4 linked regions of the Drosophila melanogaster genome follow. The protein of the gene in region 1 interacts with the protein of each later gene in a pairwise test. Each region holds a gene or a part of one and is shown in the gene's direction. Other genes may lie near its edges.

Region 1 (5,353 bases):
TGTAGTGGGGAAAAGCGGGAATGCCGTCGTGCAATCAGTCAGCGTTATCAGTTTGCCCAGCTGATGAGGTCCAACCGCAATTCCATGGCCATGAGGAGTCAGGAAGTGGCTTGGCCTTGCCTGCGACTTTGGGCACACCCCTTCGACCCACCCACTCCGCCGAAACACCCACCCACCCAACGCCACCACTTAATGTGTTGCATTTGTCCTGCAGCACGGTCGTGATTCGAAGTTGGGCAGCACTACAGGTCACTGTAAGAAACAGGAATTGGAAAGCAATAGTTATCGCTTAAAACACCGGAAAAGTTAAAGTCAAATATTTCTTGTATTTTTATTTATCTTTTATTTATAATCATATTGAAAATTAAAACTAATAATAGGTGTTGGTTATCTTTAAAATTGATTTCATTATCAAGTTATTATGCTCGATACGTGCATACTGATTGGCACAAGGCCCACTTTTCCTCAATTTTCCCGCTGTGCAGAGAATTTCCCGCGGCCAGGCAACTTGTGCTGGGCACACTTCCACATCTCTACTGCCACATCATCCACCTCCATCGACAGTCCGTTGCTGGTTTTTGGACTTTTCAGCTTTTCTCACAGGGGCTGGCGTTTTTCGGCTGCCTGGGCGTTTTGTTTGCATAGAAAGGCCGGAGGGGTGGGGCGGCGAGAGGCGGGGCGGTACAGGGGGTGTGGTTCAATTAGCCCGCTTCTCAGCTGCAGCCCTGAAATGCAACAGCTCGACCGGCAGCTTCCAGCTGTGGGAGGCCCAACTGGCACGGGTTAATCTGGATTGGGTTCCGAATAATCACGACTTCTCGGGATCTTCCAAATCAGAGTCTAAGTACATATGTACATTGTTTTTAGTTTTCCTAAAATATTACTAAAATAACATGCTATGTAATCTTACAAATACTTTGAATTTCGTGAATTTTCTGAAACAGAATTTTCAAATGTGTCAGATAAATTCCAATTGTTAAACCCTTTTCTGCAGCCTTACATCCGGTGAAATCTTCCAAGTATTTGTTATGATTTTCGAACATTCTTAACTATCTATATATATTTAGCAATATTTTCCATTTCTAAACGCTGTGATAAAACCACACCTGGATTTATTTTGCTCAAGCTAAGACCATTTAAAGTCGCAATTTCCAGAGTTAGTCTACTTTTGGGGGCAAAGCTGTTGCAATCTAAGTTTCGCTGGTCTTTTCCAAATTTCCTTTTCTTTAATTTAGTCGTTTTCGAGGTAAAAACACGACCATTTCCCCGCAAAACTCCCTTTCGCTGCGACCGATAGTAACGAAAAGTCGAAATGGAAAACAATTTGTCATCTTGCGTGGATTTTCATTTCTATTCTCATACATATATTTCGTATACCCTTTTGTTTTTCCTACGATTTTCAGCTATCCAGTTCTGGGAAAACAACATTGGCGAACATTTAATTGAACGCAATAGTAGTTGTTGCCGTGTGTGCATTTGTTTTCAGTTTTTAACGCAGGCACGCGATGAAAGAGAGGGCCGCAGGACTGTCGAAAGAGACGGCACGAGGGGCACGTGTCCGTGTGCGTGCCATCTCGCTCGCACAGCGGCCATCGCTCTAATTATAGGTTAGGCCCGTCCGATCTGCCATTGGCCAAAGCGTTCATATAGAGGGGGCTGTGCTCTGGGAACTGGTTTTACCCAAAGCAGCCGGGGTTTTTATGAATGAAACTGGAAGGGAAAGGCGCACACACCACCAAAATACGAATACACGAATGCATATATATATATATATATATATCTTTACCCCTGGCACCCATTCGCACCACTCTAGAGAGTGGTGTGTGTTGTTTTATATTTTGTTGTTGCTGTTGTTTTTGGATTGTCTGTACGAGCGTCTCGCTTGCACTGATGGCATCGTTGGCCCCCACGTTGAATTTTGGTTAGTTGGAGTGAATTTACGACTGTGTGCTATCTCACTCGCACCGCTGCGGCAGCTACGCCGGCAGCGGCAGCGACTGTGGCAGCGTTGGTGGCAGCGGCGACATTTAGACAAGCTTTTTGTTCGCGTGAAACAGTTGCAAGCCTTTGAACGATCAGCGACGACGGCGTTACTTTTGGCGCGGATACAGCAGCGACACTTTTTTTTCGTTGGCAGGCGCCTCCTGTCACCAAACAAACAAATAAATAAACAAATAAACATAAAAACAAACAAGCAAATAAATAAACAATAAACCAACAAGCAAACAAACAAACATAAACAAGCCAACAAGCAGCCAAGCTAAACAAAACAACTGTGTGCATTTTTGGTTCGAGTTTCCTTTAATTTCCATCGCTTATATTTCATTTTTTTTTTGCCTGTGTTCCTTAGAAAAGAAGTCTATAAAGAATAAAAAAAATAAAAAAAAAATTAAGCCCATATATAGGCACAAAATCCCAGTGACAATAAGAGCAGTCAAACATTGCAACTCTCAGCAGCAAACATCAGCCGACGGCCGAGTGAAGAAAAGTGCAACGCCGACGGACTCGAGAAAAGATACAGATACAGATACGGATTATACATATCTGGGCTATTAGCTGGGCCATAATCTGCTCTCAAGCGATTTAGCCCACTTTGCTTTTTTTCTGAGTGCGTGTGTGCTTGTGCTGTGCTGTGCTGTGCTGTGCTGTGCTTGCCAATCCATTTGTCCATGTCCTTTACATCTTTTTTCCCTTACTCTCCAAGATCAGTGAGCCTGGCCTGCAACAATAGTCGCAACAAAGAAAAAAGTAGTTGAGTTGAGCAAGAAGAAAAGAATAGAAAATCGAACCCTAAACCCAAGTGGCCGCAAAACAAAGCAGAAGCAAAACAGACAGCATCATTGTGCGCCTCAAATTGACATCAGCAGCAGCAGCAGCAGCCGCAGCAGCAACGACAACTGCCACTGCCACTGCAGCAGCAGCAACATCAGCAGCAGCAGGAGACGCAGCAGGAACATCCACAGCAACCATGTTAACGGACATGACACCGACCGCCGGTCAGCTCTACGGATCCCAGATTCCGGCCATGGGCATGAACATCAGCAATATCGCCACACACTTGCAGAAGCCACAAGTTAATCCGGTAAGCCGAAATCTCAAATCCCAAATCCGAAGATACCAAAACCGCACCTCGAGATATGTATCTGCAAGATAGGTCACTACAGATACGATTTGGTCAGAGCGTTCTTATCGAAGTGTATCTTTCTTTTAACACTGGGCCTCAATTATGCACACTTACCGTCACTTTACACACAATTGCCATCCATCGAATAGAAAACTATCGACAGCATAGCCCAAAAGTAGTAGATTCTATTATACAGATACAATTACAGGGTGTAGAGATACAAATGTATCAATCTGTATAAGAAATTATAAAATTATGCCAATTATGGTGACCATTACTTTAGATACAATTGTCATGTCAGAAAGTTAATATTTGTAATATACAGAATTACAAGCATAATTGGGTCTTAATCAACTGTTCTAGAAAAACTAGTGTTTTTTGCACCCAAAAACGAAAAATGCCAATGTACTAAGAGCAATTTATTACACCCACTATTCGCTTCGCTAAACATTTCATAGTTATCGCTGCAGAGTTTAGCCCGAAAGTATCTCATAGATACATATGTGGGCTCACTGCGCACAAGTGACTGGCAGGCATTTGCTGACTTAGTCATGATTTGATGAATGCCTCCCGCAGACACTCGTGCACTTCGACATAAATCATTCGCGCAGAGAAGTCAAGAAGTTACTTTACGGCAAGTATTTCTGTATCTCACAGTTGCGGCTGCCAAATCCTTACCAATTGTCGCTTATAAAATATATGTACATACGTACAGTAATCGGACAAATCAGCCACTTACACGGCATTAGCATTGACAATAAACAGCCATAAACAAACAATGACAACAGACGCCGCGGATTTCGATTTGTATTCAGTTACGGATACGATTTCGCATCCGAGGAATTCACAGTAGCGCACACCTTTTGTCAGCCGCTCAGCTGGATTCCTTTTGTGAGGCGATGATGATTGGAACTCATCGGGATTGTTTGGTAGTATCTAATGCCGGGGAACGGGATACAAATCGATTGGACGCGGCTTGTTCAGCCCCGGATTTTTTCACTGTTTTCTGTGTGCCAACGGATTTCACGGTATGCGCCGCAGATACATAGCTGCAGATACAGATACTATTGATAGGCTGAGATACTGAGGTACCAGGTAGGCGCCGTTTGCCGTTTCTCGTTTCTCGCTCTCAAAATCAATTATTCAGGCTCACTTGAGGTGTGAAGCTAACGATGGAATCATTCCTGGGTCTACTTAAAATCTTTTTTTGTTGTTTTTTTTTTTTGTTTCATTTGGGGTTTTGGCAAATCTGTAGAGATCGTATTTCCACGCTGACTTTTCGACTCGTATCGCTTATCGCACAGCGGAAGCAAACACTTAAAGGCTAAAACGCATCAGGCAGCCGTTCATAATGATCTTTTGGCCCCGATCCAAAATTCGCTCATCAATCTCGTCCGGCCTTTGATCTGGACCGAAAAACTAAGACAGATTTCCGCTAATGATCGTTTTTGTACGGCTCCTCCGGGCTTTTGCTCTCGATTTCAATTCGAATTTCAGTTAGCTGATTATGCAAGTCCATCGTGCTGGCCCACATCATATGATATTGGTTCAAAACCCTGTAATTCACAGCAAAAGGTCAGCGGCTAGATCAGTTGGCTAAAAATAATTTGTTAAATTCCCCAAATGAAAACTTTGATGTCAATGCTAGAAGTCATTAAAATCAGAATCAGGGTTTGTAAAGTATTTAAAGAAGAATATAGTGTGTTCTAAAGTGTATACTTTAAAAGTTTAGCCAAACGAATAATTAAATAAATAAATTAGGGTTGATTGTACTTTAGATATACTATCTCTGTTCTGAAGGATTAGCCCGAATCGCATGACACTTTTAATAGAGTCAGCAACGCCAAATGGACGCAATGTGATTGAGGCACTTTCAATCTGCTGCCCCTGGCCACCACCTGCCCCTCCCCCCTCCCTCCTTTCCAACGTTCATTTTTCTCCGATTTTTTCACCTTTTTTTTTTTTGTCGAACCAAAGTGCAGACGCCACGCAATTGCGTGTGCCCATAAAAAAAAAAATGTATTTGCCAAGAACCGCAGAACGAAACGAGCTGGCTGCTATAAACTGGCCTGGTCTCTTGGTCTTTCGGTCTCGTTCTCGTTCTCCAACGGATCTGCATATTGATGGAGCAGCGAGGAACGAGAAACGTTTATTAAAATTAATACCACATCAATCATTTAACAAACGCGCCTGTCGGCCAAGTTCAAAGCGACGGCTGCGACTAGACCA
Region 2 (7,682 bases), on another chromosome or scaffold:
CAGCTTTTGTTTATAATTAGTATTAATGAGTTTAATTAAAATGGAAATAAATACTGATGCCTGCTGAAAAATATGGGATTTTAATGGACCGTTTTTACTAATGGCACCACGCGCAACGATGGAATCGATTGGTAACTTAATTTTATAAATTAAATTACATTGTTGGATGGATTTAATAATTGGACTGTGTTAAATAATATCTATATTCAGCTAAAAAAAACTTTTTTTTTTTAATATCGGCAGAGACTAATAATTTTTGCCTTTGAATGCCTTTCGATTTTGCCACAGATTTTGATTAATGTTGAGATAACATAATAATAATTATAACTTGGATAAGAACATTATTGGATACAACACAAGACGGGTGAATAATAGGATGATTATTGTGAATCTATGAATAGAGCAAGTGAATCAATTTTCATTTTACAGAAATGCCAGTATTTGTTTTTTTTTTATGAAAAGTATATAAACCATGAAACCAAATCGTCGCGAAGATGTGAATATGAAAATGATAACGTATTAATTAATAAAATAACAAATTCTTCAGTGCCAGGTGTGGGTAAATCTGGCCGTTCCATTGAAATATATCAGGCATCAATGGCTTAGGAATCTCTACACCGGAAACCAGATGCTTTTCCCCGGAACAGATGATACAACACCAAAGGGCCTTTGTTCTTGTTTCCTATTTTCCACCACTCACCTGCTGCTCTGTTGTGTGGGTATGCTGGTGTAGCTGGTTCGGGCCCTCTTCGGTTGACCATGATCCATGTTGTCGCTAATAGTATCTGCAGCTCGGCGTTTTCCCCGTGGCATGACTTATTGTGATGTGTTTTCCAGAGTCAGTCCGTTCCGTCCGTCGGATTTGAGTTTTGCTGTGAATAGCACACTTAGTTCATTCGCTATTAGCGAAAATGTTTGAATTGCACTTACCGCAATGTTTCCCAATATGACCAGTTTACTTTAGCTCCGAAGTAGTTATCTGTGGGGTATGAAAGAATCCGGTTAAAATGGAGCCTCAATCACTTGGTGGTATGATATTTTTAGGGGAGTTTTTCGGGCAGACCGACCACCCCCGATACGCGGATGCAGCGAAGAGGTTTCACGGGATGCACAGGACATCGCGGTATACATATAGTGGCTATAGTATATATATGGTCGATATATGTGTGTCTACCAGATGAACGTTTGTACTCTGTAGGCGTGCGTACATATGTTTTACTACACCAGAGCACGAAATACCGGCTGCTGGAAGGGCCTCGGTCTCGACTCGGTTCGCAATACCGGGACTACGGACCGGGGAGCACGGCCATTACGGGGGATTGGTCCGTGGTCGGCCTCCGGGAGCCACAGCCAGCAGCTGATACGACCGACCGACCGTCTGGCCTGCGCGTGCTCGCTTTTCTGCGTCGAACGTCGCAACGCCGAGGGGCTCAGTTTACGGCTTTCCTTTTTAACTGCGACCGGTAAATGGATCTTAAACTGGGTGCGCTCGGTTAAAGGGATCCGCCCGTGCAGTTAGGGGAAAGAACGGTTCAATTTTTACCATATTTTTCAAAATCAATCAAAATTTCTTGGCGTCAATTAGAGCTGGGTTGGCCACTCGCGATAGTATCGATACATTTAACACTGATGGGGGCAAGGACTATCGGTGTCTTGGATTTGATAGACCCTGGTTTGCGAAATTTAACGGCACTATAGAATTAACAGGGCTGTCGCATTTCCTTGGAATTACTTATTACACATTCTTGTTAACACATAATTTTCTGACATGCTTTATTTTAAACGGGCTTCGAAATAAACAACAATTTTAAGATATAAAAATAAAATATTAAACATTTGCATTTTGGCTGTTTTTAGTGGAAACACAACAACCACAACGATACTATCGCTTAGGACTCGGAAAACAGGTGTGCCATCACTGACTGTCTAGGTCTATTCTTCAGAAAAATCAATTTTTCCAATTTGATTGTAAACACGATGCCAGACAGAAAGAGGCCCCTTGGTCTTTAGTAATAGATCTCAGGATGCCGAGCTTCTACCTATTCGCCGCCAGCAGTGAAGGGCGCGTCTACACGCTGTCCACCAACTCCGGAGCGTGGCGCGAACTTCCCTATCTGGGATTGGAGTTCAAGAAGATCTGCGCTGTGCCCAACTTTTTGTGGGCCATTGGCGGCGACCGCCAGGTGTACGTTCATGTGCACGGTCTGGACGTGCCCATTCGGATTCGGGAGGAGTCGTACGAGAACGAGCGCTGGCTGCCCATCGAAGGATTTTCGAAGACGCTGCTGCCCACTGATCGGTACAGATATTCCTCCGCCGATGGCAGTGTGGAGCGTGGTGTGGACAAAATCCGACTGCCCTCGATGGCGTGGCAATGGGACGGCGACTGGCACCTGGACTTAGAGCTCGATGGACAGCCGCTGACCGAGGATGGCTGGATGTACGCCCTGGACTTTCCGGCCACGTACTCGGCAAAGAAGTCTTGGAACTCGTATGTGCGACGACGCAAGTGGGTGAGATATAGGAGGTATGCAGCCTTGAATAGCTGGTGCGCGGTGGCACCACTACACAAGGATCCCACGCAGGAGCCCTTCATAGACGTGGCTATAGGCGGCACTTGTGTTCCCAACGCTCCTGCCGGCACTTTGTGTGTCTGGGCCATTACCGCCCATGGCAGGGCTATGTTTCGCACGGGGGTGTCCAAAACGGCGCCCGAGGGTCTTCGCTGGACAGCTGTACCCACGCCCACGGGCAGTGAACTCGCGCAGATCAGCGTGGGACCCACAGGATTGGTATGGGCGGTACTCCATAACGGCCGAGTTATCGTACGTACTGGTGTAACCAGAGACAACCTAGTCGGTGACTCGTGGTTGGATGTCAAAACCCCCGTGGCCGCCAGTAGCTTGCGCATTGTTCACGTTTCCGTGGGCACCGATGCTGTGTGGTGTGTAACCAATGATCATCACGCCTGGTTCAGGAGAGGCGTCAAGGGTGAAGCAGCGGGCATAAGCGAGGATTCGGCCATTGGCAAGGGCTGGGTGGAAATGGTGGGAAACATTTCAATGGTCTCTGTGGCGGCCAACGATCAGGTAAACCAGTGTTAGATCTACCCAATTATCTTAGATATGAACATACTCTTTCGCAGGTCTTTGCCATTGGAGCCGCTGACCGTTGTTTGTACCACCGCTCTGGGGTGACCTCTGCCGACCCTACTGGCAAAAAATGGCGTTTAATTCAATGTCCCATGCAAATCAGCCGCACTTCTAGCTCTCTATCCATAGTCTCTCGTAAAAGCGGCGGAAGTAGTTCAACGCCAGGCTCAAAGCACCAGAGCTTCTCCAATTTGTACTCCAAGGAGAAGGAGAAGGGTGTGGTAGAGACGTGTGCAGTTATAGAAACTGTGCTCAACAGCTCTACGGGCTCCTGCTCTAGTAATGGCGGTCCACCTGGTCTTCTTAAGAACGAACGTTGGAAACTCAGTGCCGATTCACCTCCGACAATTGGAAGTCTGAATCTCAACGATCGCCACAAGCAGAGAACGGCGGCGCTTCGCGAAACTTCACATGCTTCCAGTGCTCCCGCAGCGGATGTGGTGGAGGTGGTAACTGGCAAGTTTGAGACCCAGCTGAGGAATCCAAGAGCTTGGTCTCCCGTCCGAAGTGTTGGGTCCGTCGTGGGCACTGAAGCGCATCCAGAGAGCGATTCGACCGTGTTTGAGTCGGACTCCACGCACCATGGATCGGATGTGTTTCTGGGAGAAGATGACGACCATACGGGATCACAATTTTGGACAGAATGCGGGATACTATGGAGCTGCGTAGCTTCAGGTGCTGTGACTGTGGATGCCAGCAACATGCCCAATTGGTTTAACGAGCAGACGAGCGACAGTAAAGTGGACGTGAATGCCAATTGGCGAAAGGATATTGTGAACAAGTTGCAGCGACGTCAGGAGAAACTGGCCAAGCTTCAGACTGTGGCCAAGTTCGAGAAGGCAGTGGAGCTTTCTTCGTGGGTCAAATCGGCGGATGCGCGCTATCAGCGACCTGGAGGCGAGTTTGAGGATTGTATCATCGAACTTGAGTGGGTAAGCAGTGGCAGTGGCACTGACACAAATAGTAGTGAAAACTCGCGATCCGGGGACTCTGGAACTTTTACGGTACTTAGTCCGGATGGAGCCGCCACGAAGATTCAGTTCCCGTTGTCAGACATCACCTGTGTTCAGTGCTGCAGTGAAGCCGGAGCACCGCGGATCGCTATTCATGCTCCTCATCTTCCCGTAAACTGTTCGCCCGTTAAGCTACAGTTCTCCAGTGACTCGGAAATGGAGGACTGGTTGTCCCACCTGTCGTCAGTCTGTAGCCAGATCAACACTATGGTGGGAAAACCGGCTGGCAATGCGATCTGGATAACCAGCGAGTTGGGCGATGTCTTTGTGTTTGATCCCGCCAACATGAAGGCACATCAGACAAGTGAACCCAGCGAGGGATACGTGGAGAAGATGGATGTTTCCACTTGCGAAACTCCATACTACAATACTCTTTACAATGGGTAAGTGGGCTTAAAAACTTACCTGTCGGTCGAAGATTCTATTAAAATTTATGTGGTAGGATTGTTTTGTGAAGTATGTAGGTATTATATTGTTTAAACTGCTATGATAGAAAAATATTTTTGAGTGATGGATAAATCTAGCGCTGGAGTTTTGTTGAATTCAAATTGTTCAATTTATCCAAGCAGGCAATTTACCAGAAGCTTCGTATTCCATTTAATTCTAAAAGCTTAATTTTTTAATAATTACCTCCTGTATATGTTAATTTCAGAATGCCATGTGGTACTGAGCTAGAGATATCTGGCTGTGTGTACGATGACGCTGATCAGATTCGTTTCGACTTGCAGTCGCATTCTGCAGTAAAAGTTCAGCCTCATCGCGTGGAGAAGCATCGGGTCATTGCTCTGCACCTGAATCCCCGTTTCAACGAACGCACCACGGTGCTCAACTCGATGAAGGAGTCCGAATGGCTGGACGAGATTCGCAATGACAAAATGGCCTTTGCTCCCGGAGCAACTTTTTCGTTGAAAATAAGGTAGGAATAGAATCCTGGGAATGAAATCGAATGCCTAATACATACTTGAATATCCTTACAGGGCTCTGCAAGATCACTACTTGATCATCGTGAACAATGCCGTATATACCGACTACAAGTACCGCATCGATCCGGAAAGCGTGACGCGGCTTTATGTGAGTGGCCGTATTAAGCTTTTCAATGTACTCTACCGCTGCCCCTCCCTAATTGTCTCAATGGAGCGCATGCACTGGCGCCAAATGGGCGGTCACATTAAGAGGATTTTCAACAGCGGCGTGGATGTGGTGTGGGGCATATCCTGTGACAACACTGGCTGGGTTTACAACGGAGGCTGGGGAGGAATGTTCCTAAAGGGCTTGGAGGGGTCCGGCAAAATTAACCCAATGATTGACACACACACCTACTATGTGTACGAAAATCAACGTTGGAATCCAATCAGTGGTTTCACGGCGAAGAGCCTGCCGACGGATCGGCACATGTGGAGCGATGCTACTGGGCGGCAGAAGCGGAGCAAGGAGCACACCAAGCTGCTGTCTACGCACTGCGAATGGATCTCCGATTGGGCCATTGACTACAACATTCCTGGGGGCGCGGACAAGGAGGGCTGGCAATACGCCATCGACTTCCCCGCCAACTACCATGCTCACAAAAAACTCACAGATTGCGTGCGTCGACGAAGATGGATGAAGCGATGTCGTCTTAGCAGCAGCGGACCATGGCAGGAGCTTAGTCAGTCCAAAATCCTTGATGCTGCCCTGCAGGTATGGTTCTACTTAAAAAATTCTCAACATGGTTGTTTTTTAAACATTTTCCTACTAGGTATTGGATGAAGATGTGGATCACAGCTGTTCGGGTGAGAGAAACACAGCAGTGGCTGCCTGGGCGATTGCCTCCAATGGTGATGTCCTCATCCGGCATGGTGTATGCAGCTTAAACCCTCGTGGCGATGCCTGGGAGCACATAACCAGCGACCAGCCGTTAGTTGGGATCAGCGTGGGGCCCACAGGTCAGGTGTGGACTGTGGCGCGCAACGGCATGGTGTTCTTCCGGTATGGCATCAGCAGGCAGAATCCGTGCGGCGATGCCTGGCAACAAGTGGAGGCACCCGCGGGTGTGACCTTTAAAGCGATAAGCGTGGGTCGGGCTGGGATTTGGGCGCTGGACAACCAGCAACGTTTGGCTGTGCGTAAGGAGATTTCGAGGACTTTCCCTGAGGGCTCCCACTGGCAGTTTCTGCCCAATGCCGCCAATGTGCCACCGCACACGGATCAGCATTGTGGCTTCCGCTCGGTGTCCGTGGGCTCCGAGGTGTGGGCCATCTCCCTCAATGGTATCATTTGCAGGCGCTGCGGAATTACAGAGGAAAATCCTGCAGGCGTAGGATGGAACCTTGGCATTGCGGTATGCAATCTAAACATTGGGTTGGTTGAATTTATAATTAAAAAAAAATACCCTCTCCATTTCAGGGCCAATGGCAAAATGTCTCTGTCGAAGGATATATGTGATGGAGTTGAATACTTTATTTGTGCATTCCTATTTACTTACGGACGATCCTGTTTGTTGTATTTATTCATATTTACAAGCTTATATGTGACCATGCCAACGCTTTTTCCAAAGTATATGAAAATAAGATGTTTCCTATTTAAGCTATTTGAAACGTATTATTTACACATATTTATTTATAATTTATAATAATAATTTATAAAAGTATGTATCTAAGTCAAATGTTTAGTTTAAGTCTTTTGTTTAGTTTAACAAATCCAGCAGCCGTGATTGTATTTCCTTTTTGTAAGCAAATATATAATGAATTACGAGAATAAATATATGTATGTGATGAAAGATGAAATATGTCTTATCTCTCACAGATCAAAAATCATTTGATTTTAATTTTTTTACCAAGTTAATGAATGGTTTGAGTCCGTACTTTTTAAAATGTACGCTTACAGTATTTTATTGGTAAGATATCGATAGCCGATAGACCAGCTCATCTGCGATGTTGTATCGCATGTTTGTTTATTGTGTTGTAAACCAAAACTATATCAACAATTTACCTATTTTGTGACGATGTCAGACTACGATCATGCACGCATTAAGAAATTGGTTCTAAAAGGCGAGAAACTCAAGTATGTAACTACAAATCTGCCAATAGCATCAATTGAAATTCTCGATTTGTAGAAAGAGCAAAAAACGCAAGAAGGAAAAGGATGAGGCTGGATCTTCCAAAAAGGCCAAGGTAGTAGTGGATGAGGATGCCGTGAAGCACGGCGGTTGGTGGGCAGCAAAGACAGCGGCCGACATCACCGGTACAGTGTCCATAGAGTTTGGCGATAGGAGTTACCTAAAGGCCATGGACAATGGGTAATAGTGAAAAAGATCTGCCCATTGGTACTTTAATTATACCGGGTGTCCATTAACATTTTAGTCTCTTCACATTGGGAGCACCACACAACGCTGGCGATGGCCCAGATCCCGAGGAGATTTTCACGGCTTTTCCCATCAACGACCGAAAGGTAGCGTTTAAGTCTGGCTATGGCAAGTACTTGAAAATTGAGAAGGATGGAATGGTCACGGGGCGCTCCGAAGCAGTGGGCGGCATGGAGC
Region 3 (5,241 bases), on another chromosome or scaffold:
GCTTATGGAGTTGCTGCTGCTCCGCTCCGGGCTCCTTCATCAGCGGATGGTCCCTAATCATCCTGCTCAGTTGCTCGAAGTCCGCGGTGCGGTAATCCTTCCTCAAAGGTCGCGACATCCTTCTCAATTAATTTGAATGAGCGCGTGCCGCCGATTTCCCAACTTGTTTACTGCGTGTGCAGACATGGCAACGCAACAATGGTGGATACAATATATGGGTGCCATAACTACCAAGTGCTGTAGTTGCACTCCGATTGCAACACGGAATTCCATTAGCAGGCTCACACATGACTGCACTCATTGCGTCCATAAATATTTATAACTCACATTTAAATCGCGCAACAAAAGTGCATAATAAGTGGGTTGGTAAGCAAAAACGTATATTTAAATATGAATGTAGTTCCAGTTGTGCAATGAAGATGAAGCCACCATAGTCTAACATCAATTTGGATCATTACCTTTAGTGATTCCAATAATTTGCGCGGCTTTCTGACCTGTCACAAGAAAAATCCCCCAACCGGAGAAAAGCAAAACAAACTATAAACTACAAAATACAAACTACAAACTACCAACAAATGAAATTCGTATTCATATTCCAATTAGACAGTAGAAGAATAGCAGACGGAAAATAGTTAGATGGTATATGGTAAAAAGGTCTTTAATTCCGCCACATAGCCGCATAGGAAATGGGCAAAAGATGGGATGAGGAGGAGCACTTGGCCATGTGGGCGATTGAGAGCAGCAAGCCGTGCAGCACACTGAACGAAAATAAGATCGGGTTAAGAATGAAATATGATTAGGTTAAGTGCTCACAGCAAAGAAATGTATCTACAGAGAAATTATTTCAACATGAATCCCAAACTATAAATATGACAATCTTAATTTGAAGATAGCTTGTAATAATCAAAGCGATTTTCCGTGTATAGAAGATATGGAAGTCGAAAAGAAGTTGTTTATGTTAATTTGGCTTTATGCTTCGCTACGCTGATTCGCTTGATGAACATATAGCAAAAAAGAGGGCTGATTATGAGGACGACGACGACGACGACGACGATGACGATGATGATGAGGGGGCCCAAACCGAGCGAATATGGCCAAGTGCACTATGTCAAACGGAGGGGCACACGGCAAGCGGGCAACTGATGGCCAAGAAGAACAAACCATCAAACCGTCAACGCATCAAAGCGTTAAGTAATAAATGTGCAGGCAGCCAGCGAAAAGAAAGAGTTAAGAGCAAAAAAAAAAAAACAAATCCAAGCGGGCTATAAACAATAGTCGCCTGTCTTGCAGGTTGCGTGCATTTTGAACTCTGCACGAGCCAACGATCGTTGTTGTTGGCCGATTTGGCCAGACTCTTGTTGTTGCTGTTACACATTTTGGGGGCAGCAACAACCACCTACAGTCAGCGAAATTCAGTGAACCGCCACCAACGCGACGCCAACTGCGACGCCGGCGGCGACTGCGCAGTCAGCGCCACACTGAATTACATCTTTGAGGTGTTGAAAAATATTAATAATATTTTAAAATTACACTTTAAGTTTAAGACTCAGTTCTGTGATAGCTTTTTAATGGACTAACCCAGCTTGTAAGCAAGCTGATACCACTGATGTAACTACCTTTTAACTCCAGCCAGTTGTTAGCCATGTTTGTCCAGTGTTTGTGAGATAATTAATAATTTTGTCGCCAGCCCGCAAGAAACGAGTCTGCGGAGTGGACCCTGTTTTGAAAAGTGAAATAAAACGCCACTTTTTACGAACATCTAATTGTGTCCGCACCCTGGAAACCCATAAAACGCGCCATCTCCATCTCGATCCAGCCCATGGGCTGGCTATTAGCCATATGTCGCTCGCATTCAGATCGTCTGGGCTTCTTACACCTGTTTTATGTCCCCACTGGCCCCAATGTGCGACGACTGCCCCTTTCGGAGCGTCGACTGCGCCGCCCGGCGTTTCGGTGTAACACATTTTCAGTTCGTTTCCATTGTGGCAGGGAGCGCGGAAGACCAGCGAGCCAGCGAGCCAGCGCGCCAGACGAGAAGAGCTGGCGGCAGAGCGAGCTCAAGTCGAGCTCGGAGGTTTTTTTTCGAGGCAGCGGAGCGACTTTTTATTCGTTAATTAACCGTCGAGCGGGCCAGAAGTCCGAGTTGCTCGGCTTAACGGAAGTGCTGAAATCGGGCGGCTAATTGAGCACACCTCGCCTCCAGTTGACACCTGAGACACCTGAGGGAAAAAACGAATTGAAACCACTCCACATAGCTCGGGTCATAACTTTCCTCGCTGGCCGGCTGCTAATGTCTCAATTTGTTGTGCGCGTTGGGCAAGTGCAGTTGCCATTCAGCCGTGGCTGTATCTGAAAGATACAATTCGGGAGAGCTCGGTTCCTGAGTGATTCGAAGTTTATGCTAATCAGCTGTGTTGCTCCGCGAGAGGGATCATTTCGCCATAGACCCACACCCGCATAGCCAGTGATCACATAACGAAATAACGAAACCAATCAGCAGACGATCTTATCAGCGCCAAAAGAGGAGGAACACAATGTTGTTTTGGAAGAGGCGTCTTCAGCGATCGAGCAGCTCTTCGAGTAAGTCCCCGTTTCTATATGGCCAAGTTTGTGGGAATGGTGGTAATGGGGGACGGGGGACGGGACCACGCCTCCAACGATTGGGCAACAAGAAATATGATTTCGCCGGGCAGGTGAATTTCGATTTTCGGTCCAGTGACAAGCTCGAATATTTTGGCCTCGACTCATCTGCATAATTTGCATCTTAAGCATTATTTCTGGCTGTGCCCAGCGACTGGTTTATTGATTTTATTTCAGTGCTTCCCTGGCCAAGATCGTAAATTCACCCCGCTGGGCTTCATCACCCACAAAAGACTTGGACAAATACAAATGGGAGCGCGAGCCACGCGGGACATGAATAATAGCTCATATCTGGCCATCGAAATTCTCGCCGAGGTGTTCCCTTTGTGGATGACGATTGCCCAGAGATTTATGAATGGATTTAATGTGTTTAGCATAATTATGCAGATCGCCGTGTAGAAGATAATATCTCACTAGGTTTGGTTTCAAGCGTAAACACTTGGGATGGAAGTGGAAAGATTTGACACATTCACGATCAGTCGGATAAAGATTTGATGGTCTTAAGGGGCTTGGGAAGAATGGGTTTACTAACCAATATGATTATAGTGTGGTCAACACATTGTACCCTAATCCCCCACTTGAATCCCTCTCCTTCCTTTGAAAACCCATGGCCCGCAGTCAGGTGTCATAACAGATTTGTCCCGATGGCCAACAAGGTGGCCAACTGCTATCGAGCATCGCATTGAAAACTGTCCCTTTTCCCCACATTCCTGTGGTTACTCTTCGTCTTCTCCCATCCCATCCCATCTGCTCCATAACTTTCCAACCAAGTGCCGACTATGTGTCTCATTCGCTGTATCTCAGTTCTGAGCTCTCGGGGTTTATTTGGGATCAAAAACATGACTTTGACTTGTGGTAATGTGATGTTAATGACAATCATCAGCAGCGACACAAGCAATAACAACGCAGGCAGAACGAGGAGGAGCAGGAGTAGGAGTAGGTGACATCCACACCACCGCCACATGAAAGCAGTAGTCCCAGTAGTGGGTAGCCCCGCCTCCTGAGCCGCGGAGCACGCCTAACACGATTCCGGAGATCGGACATCTCTGCCAGCGACATTTATTTTATGTGCGTTCCGTTCCCGAAAGTCGTGGCCCATAATCGGCTTACCCAGAGTTCTTGGCTCTACCATACCGCAGTTGACACTTCTGGCTATTTGGTTCGCTTAGTTCGTGCCCGGAGTCTTCTGTTTTTATAGAAGCTGCCCATCAAGTTGCAGGTTTAATGGTCGCTTGTGGCCCAGTGCCGCATCGAAAAATGAGTTCGGCGTTTTGTTGTGACATTTTAATGGCCTGACCGAGCTCCATTCCCCACCGCCGAGATGGTTATCAATATTACAAAATAGTTTTCGGCTTTCGGTGGAAGCGTGCTGGATGGGATTGGAATGGTAAACAGTGTCTGGAGAATTATCTGAAACCTAAGACGATGAGCAAGGTGGAACAATTTAAATTACCATAAATCAAAACCCACAGATATACTGTGTAAGAAGTGTAGAAACATAAGTTCCAATTGAGAGTTTCTCACCGAGTTTAGTCGAGCTCTATTTGGGGCACTCCATTTGCAAGTGGCTTAATTCCCATAAATTCCGTTTGTAGATCTTTCACTTGACCGGACTGCGTCCCCCTTTGAGACCCACTTAGCCCACATCTTTGGGTCAGTCCTACACTTTCCGCGCATTCCACGAGCTCGGACCTCGAAAATTGTCTGCAAATTGCTCATAAATTACATGAAAACCGTCGCAATGCCAAAAGCTGCACCTACACCATCATTATCAGCTTGTAAATAAAAAGACTTTATCAATCGTTAAGCCGCGGGCGCAGACTCGCCATCCGGAGCCCGCGTCCGGGATCCAAGATCTCACCTCATAACATAACATAAAAGTCGTCCGGGTGGAAGGAGATGAGATGAAGATGGAGCGAAGGTGGATGCCCATTCCCATTCCCAATCCCATTCCCATCCTCATTCCAGGGCAAAACCCTGGCTCCGCTGCGGTCAAGTACAAATATTTTTATTTATGATTTTACAGATCAGCATATTGCTCAATAATTTCACCGCACCGGCAACAAAATAACTTTCAAATTACGCCTGCCGAGGATCCTCGCTTAAGTGCGCCAATTTTGAGATTATTATTGCCGGCTGCGTATGCAGATAATCGTGACCCAAAGTGCAGGAGGATGGGGTGCCCATAACTCAGCCGGTTCAGCTGGGAATCGGGAATGAGCTGGAATGATCCTCGACCAGCAAGGACTAGTGGATTGAAGCTGGTCAGCCACCGATTTAATTACTCTATTTGGCTAGTTTTTTGGGGTCGAATTTAGGTTGTCTGCGCTAGTTGGGATCTGGATTTGGATCTGGATGTGGAGTATTTGGGGCAGCTTAATATTTTCCCATAAATTACTCGGGGCCAGGAGAAAATTACTTTAAAATTTATGGCCCCGGCATCTTACACGCTGATTTGGCCCTTTTATTTTCGGCTGGCCGTTTGGTTTCTTTCTCTGGCCATCGAGCATCGAGCACTGGCTGCGAGGATCTGGGAACAGGTCGTGGCGGCGATGCCCCCACCGCAGTGATATCCGCGTTCCGAGGGGGCGGTCCCCTGGA
Region 4 (5,285 bases), on another chromosome or scaffold:
GGGTAAAAGATAGTTATTTGTACAAACATGCAATGTCAATGTTTAATTTTTTGAATATGAAATAAGATTAATTAGACTGATAGTTAATATAAAATGATAATTAAAATAGGCTTTTTTTCCGCGGAGTGATTGCCATTATATTATGTAACTGAACATTGGTTGTGCTGGCGGCATCTTTTCGTAATTGTCGTGTAACAGGTGAAAGGAATGTGGCTGCTGAAAAACACTCAATAGATAATTAAATGCTTATAATATGAGTTCGTTCTAATTATCACCACAATTAGAATGTATTCTATTATATGTTTTTGATGTGCCCTTTAATGTGCGCACGTGAACGCCAGTGGGTAGGTTGAAATCCATTCAAATCCTCGACGGGTTCAGGAATACATATAATATATATGTATGTACATATATATAGGCTTAAGCCTTCCCAAGGAGCATATGCTGCCTGTTTGTCTTTTGTGCATAATTAATCACTGAGTGACGCCGCCGGGAGTTGAATTGTGTTGTGCTGACATGGCCATGCTTTTTTATCACTGCCACAGTCTCCTGGCCGCTAAATTTATCTCTTTTCTAGGAGTCGCCTTCGCGTCCCTGTCCTTGCAACATCCGGCAACATAAGCGATTCCCTGCGAGTGGGTGGACGTGAAGGCGACCAGGAGGTGAAAAGCTCTAGCCGGTAAAACGATGTTAATGTCAAGTAGATCTCGGAGCACGTCTTGCTGCGATAATTGTTGGCGTAAATCATGTCGAAGAGCAACAGAATTACGTCCCAGACAGACACATACTATCCTTGTGGGCATATTGTACACGAAGAAATCAATGTGTCATACTCACACTTTTATCTTTAGCCCGAGGGTACTTCACATTAAAAGAGTGATTTCGATCAACTTTAAAAAGTAACTATAGAATAAAATTCTTATTGTTGGATCTGAAATTAAAGCAAGCGAAAAAATAATAATAATACAGCCAAAAAGATGCTCTAAAACAAAGAAATAAGTAAAGGACAGACAGAAAGATTTCATTAGTCCGAAATTTGTCATTAACTTATTACGTTTTAATTACTCAACTTATCACTTGATTGATTACTCAACTTATCACTTGATCTATTTGATAGAAGTATTTCAAGTTACTGCAACATTTTCTCGCAGTGTAGTGTCTGCGCTAATGGATTGTGTCCTTCGCAAAGTTCGGGCATTTCCGCGGACATTTCTCTTTGCGGCCACAGGACGTAATTGAAATAAATATTTTTCTGTAGTGTTCCCTTCAGAGCGGTGGAATATTTTTGAAGAGCCACTTTATTGAAATTTGTTTGCTTATTTGCATTTCTTGTACTGGGAATTGATTGAAATTGAAGAATGTAAACTCAAGTAATACGGGGTATTTGCCAACATTTAAGGCATGGAATTCTAAAAGCCAGATTAAGTGTTGTGGCAAAAGGAAAAACAAAGTGTTGCATGGTTGATGCTGGTTCATGTAAGAGGCATTACTCAAATTAATGCGCACAGCAGCGGGTGAAAAATTATGCAAATCACGTAATTTTTATTTCGCCGTGTTGAAAAGTCAAGACGACATGCTTTTTGTTTCAAACGGCTGCTTTTAAGGGGGGTGGCCTATGTATTGTGCCCACTTTTATTGCAAACACGCGCGTAGGTTTCCCTTTTGCAGACAGAAGGTGCATGTATTACTGACACTTTGCGCCTTCTCCTAAACTTTATTTCGGTTTTATTGTTTTAAGCTTTCGTTTTGGGCTGCTGAATTATGTTATTTGCGAGCATTCTTTAAATAACGAATTTCCTTTACTTTTCAAATTACGCGCCCGCTGTGCAACCCTGCGCACGTTATCGATTGCCAGTGGGCATGCGCACAACTATCGATTACCGATGACAAACAGCTGTGTACCTATACTTATCCAATATGGCTGCAAGTAAAAAAAATTGTAACGCTGTGAAAAAACTGCAATTTGAATTGCATTTTCCGCTTGAGTATTAGATAGAAAAGTGCGAGAAATGTGAATTTGTGCAAACGAAAGTGGAACACTATCCGAAAATCAAGTGCGCGCCAAGAAATCGAAGCGAAAAAGTGAATATCGAAAAAGTCGCCGGTGCCCCGCCAAAAAAAAGAAGACTCCCCCACTCCACTTGAAAACATTTCTCTGCGGAAATAAGGAAAATACTGCGAAAATGGAAGCCGACATAACGCCCCTGGCGGAAACCAACGGAGAGCAGCGCCAAAATCCCCAGGAAAGTGCTCAAAACCAAGAGCAACCGCAACCGCGGCAGGATTTGGCGGGCAAGTCGGTGGGTTCCGCTGATGATGGCGTCTCCGGAACTGTGGGACAGATTATGGATTACCTCGAGGTGCGCCCGGCTTTAAAAGACTTGGAAAAGCTTGTGAAACTCATACATATATATATATATATGTTTGTTTATTTTTATTTATATTATAGGACGATGCCGGTGCAACTGCCGACCAGGACGCGGAGATGGGCGAGGCAGAGTATCTGGATGGCGAGATGCCGCAGGAGGATGAGAGCGAGACTCCGCAAACGGAGAAAGCCAATGAAGGTTGCCAGGAATCAAGCAATAAGAAGGATTTGCAAGAATCTGCAGCTAAAGATGATTTTTCCAAGGAAAAAAGTGGAGAGGATGGTGAAAAAGACACCGACAAGGAGAAGAAGGCAACTCATTTACATGAAGATAACAACGATGATGCCGAAAAGGATGGCGACGAGGCCGACGCAGAGGATGAAGACGATGTAGAGAAGCCAGAAGATGAGGATGGCACCGAAGAAGGCGACGAGGCCATTGAAGAAGATGAGGACGCTCTCGATGAAGATGAGGATCCCAACGAAGAAGTCGAGGAAATTGAACCAGATTTCGAGACTGGCACCGATGCAGAAGGTGAACTAATCACTGGCGATGAGCCGGGCGATCTGGCCGATGTGCCCATTAGGGAGCGCAAGAAAGAGGAACCCGTGGACGAAGACCAGTGCCGCGTTTGCACCAGCAAGGAAGAGCTAGTCTGCCTGTTTAAGAAGCAAATCGATGCCACGCCCGCGGACATGCTGCTGGTCATCTGTCCTAATGTCTCGATTTTGCCCAAGGACTTTATGCCGCAATTCATATGCACCAAGTGCATGGGCAGCCTTACCATTGCCATACAGCTGAGAAAGCAGCTGGAGACCACGGACCAGGAGCTGCGCAAGCGTTTGTCCCGAAGCAAGAATAAAGTGCGAAGACCCCGCGGCTATGTGGTCATAGACGCACCTGTCACCGATTCCAGTGAGGATGAGGATGAGCTCGATGATGAGTTCAAGGTATCCGATGTAGCCGGAACCACGAGTGCCGACAGCGATTCTGCCGATTCGGATGACAGTGAGAAGGAGAAAAAGAAGCCCGGACCACGTGGGCGTCCTCGAAAAAAGCCACTCAAGAGAGGCACGGACAGCGATGGGGAGCCTTCCAGCGCCCAAAAGAAGAAATACCAGCCCTCTTCGACGGCTTCAGTGGGCCCATTCGAGTGTCCCAACTGCGACTTGACGTTCTCGCGCAAACAATCCTATGTGCTGCATCGTAAGACTCACGAGAGAATAGAGCATGCCTGTCCCATCTGCGGCAAGAAGTTCAAGGTGGAGTGGGCCTATAAAACGCACATGCAACGGCACGAGCAGGAGCGCGCCCATTTCCGCTGCGAGCTGTGCCCCAAGATATTCCGACTGCGCGCGGAACTGAAGCACCATATGGCCCAGCGACACGACGAGCATGGCTTCATTTACGAGTGCAAGCGCTGCCAGCGGACGTTCCTCACCCAGCAGCGACTGCAGCGTCACCAGGCCGTCGGTTGTCAGCGGCACAAGGAGGATAGCGTTCGCATCAAGGAGGAGCAGTCGCGGTTCAAGCAGGAGTCGCGCAGCAAGGACGACCGCCATCATGGCAACAACAGCAGCAAACGCCGTCCCGGCGAAGGACGGGATCTTTTCAAGGCTGTGGCCCCACCAACAACCACCTATTGGAGCGATAGCTTCTCGGACTAAAAAAACCAAGGTGCGGCGGCTTGCGGATTTCAATTCAATAATTTCTAATGAACGATTTTAAGTTTCTCTAGCTGTAGGAAGAATTCAGTGCAAATAAATCACATTTGTAATAAATACAAAATAACACTAGTGGAAGTTTTGAGTACATGTAAACTTCTCAAGCTAAGTAAGTAAGCGAAAAGGCAAAATAAAAAGTTCGATTAATGGCAGATTGGAAAATATTGACTTAGACGCTAAGATTTTCATTTGTTCCTAAGGACACCATTAGATTATAAATACTTCAAACATATAAGATTCGCTGTTAAAATAAACACTATGTTTGGAATAAGTGCGTCGTAACTTACATGGAGTGCGCTGCTCCTCAGTGACCCACAATGCTTTCCTTTTGAACCCCTTTTAATTGGATCCCAAAGCGTTTGCTCGCCAAATGGCAGCACTTAGTGCCGCCGAGCTAAAGAACAACCAACTGCAGTTCTGCACAATCTTGGCCATAATGTGGCGTTCTAATGTTTATAATTTCGCTTGTGGAGCATAACTAGGAGTGTTTAACTACTGGGGATTACTTTGGACCCAAGCTGGGGGTCTTTAGTGTAGACTTGCAGCATATATGTGCATAAGCGGAGCACTAAGTGTGGTTACTCACAACTTTCAGATCCGTGTACAATTCTTATCAGGTATTTCAGAAAGGTTTGGTAAGAAAAATGCTGTAGTACTTCAAGCAACTAATTTGGACCACAAAATTTGCACTTTTCCAAGAAAGTTTTACTCATGGCCGGAAGGAAAACGAACTGAGTTGCAACGTTTTAGTTATAATTTTAAACTGTAAGCCAATAAACTAAGTTATTTGTGTAAGCCTAATTTGTAAGCCGTAATTTATGCAAAATTGTTAAGCTTTTCTTTTGGGTTTCTGTGGGAAGTTTTGTTGTGATTGCAGTGAGTTTTTAGGGCTAAATTTAAAACTCTTTAAATTGAATTGAAGACACACGTTTGACTTTAACATTTATTTACATAGCAATCGGGAATTGTTTGGGCAGGAAATCTGATGCACGTGCGAATGTTTCGGCAATGCTGCTGCACTACAAAGGTGTCTAATTGATCCGCCGCTCCGTGTGCGTGCCTAATTAGAAGTGGTGGATGGAGTGGTAGGTGGGCAGGTGATAGGACACCGAAGACACCGGATGGTGGGCAATCAGCGGGGCATGGGCGATGAGTGGGGCATGCGATATGATTGGGGCATGATGCACCAGCG

Evidence for each region.
Region 2: the proteins of Sp1 (region 1) and Pex23 interact in a two-hybrid assay, tested with the Drosophila melanogaster proteins (one large-scale study listed by BioGRID).
Region 3: the proteins of Sp1 (region 1) and CG7991 interact in a two-hybrid assay, tested with the Drosophila melanogaster proteins (one large-scale study listed by BioGRID).
Region 4: the proteins of Sp1 (region 1) and CG12391 interact in a two-hybrid assay, tested with the Drosophila melanogaster proteins (one large-scale study listed by BioGRID).

What each region holds. Positions count from the first base shown.
Region 1 is NC_004354.4:9,727,596-9,732,948, forward strand, and holds the start of Sp1 (Sp1), read left to right. Parts: upstream 1-2,052; 5' UTR 2,053-2,288; exon of another isoform or gene 2,289-2,704; 5' UTR 2,705-2,968; coding exon 2,969-3,082; intron 3,083-5,353.
Region 2 is NT_037436.4:20,296,364-20,304,045, reverse strand, and holds Pex23 (peroxin 23), read left to right. Parts: upstream 1-1,904; 5' UTR 1,905-2,024; coding exon 2,025-3,089; exon of another isoform or gene 3,090-3,145; coding exon 3,146-4,548; intron 4,549-4,570; exon of another isoform or gene 4,571-4,636; intron 4,637-4,817; coding exon 4,818-5,081; intron 5,082-5,142; coding exon 5,143-5,842; intron 5,843-5,900; coding exon 5,901-6,482; intron 6,483-6,547; coding exon 6,548-6,586; 3' UTR 6,587-6,917; downstream 6,918-7,682. Other genes in the region: SCCRO4 (squamous cell carcinoma-related oncogene 4), read right to left, coding at 701-813; FRG1 (FSHD region gene 1), read left to right, coding at 7,146-7,204, 7,257-7,439, 7,504-7,682. UniProt on the Drosophila melanogaster protein: Involved in peroxisome biogenesis.
Region 3 is NT_037436.4:1,672,588-1,677,828, forward strand, and holds the start of CG7991 (uncharacterized protein), read left to right. Parts: upstream 1-2,121; 5' UTR 2,122-2,534; coding exon 2,535-2,580; intron 2,581-5,241. Other genes in the region: CG13930 (uncharacterized protein), read right to left, coding at 1-118.
Region 4 is NT_033778.4:11,146,676-11,151,960, reverse strand, and holds CG12391 (uncharacterized protein), read left to right. Parts: upstream 1-1,892; 5' UTR 1,893-2,183; coding exon 2,184-2,360; intron 2,361-2,449; coding exon 2,450-4,036; 3' UTR 4,037-4,359; downstream 4,360-5,285. Other genes in the region: CG13231 (uncharacterized protein), read right to left, coding at 5,158-5,285.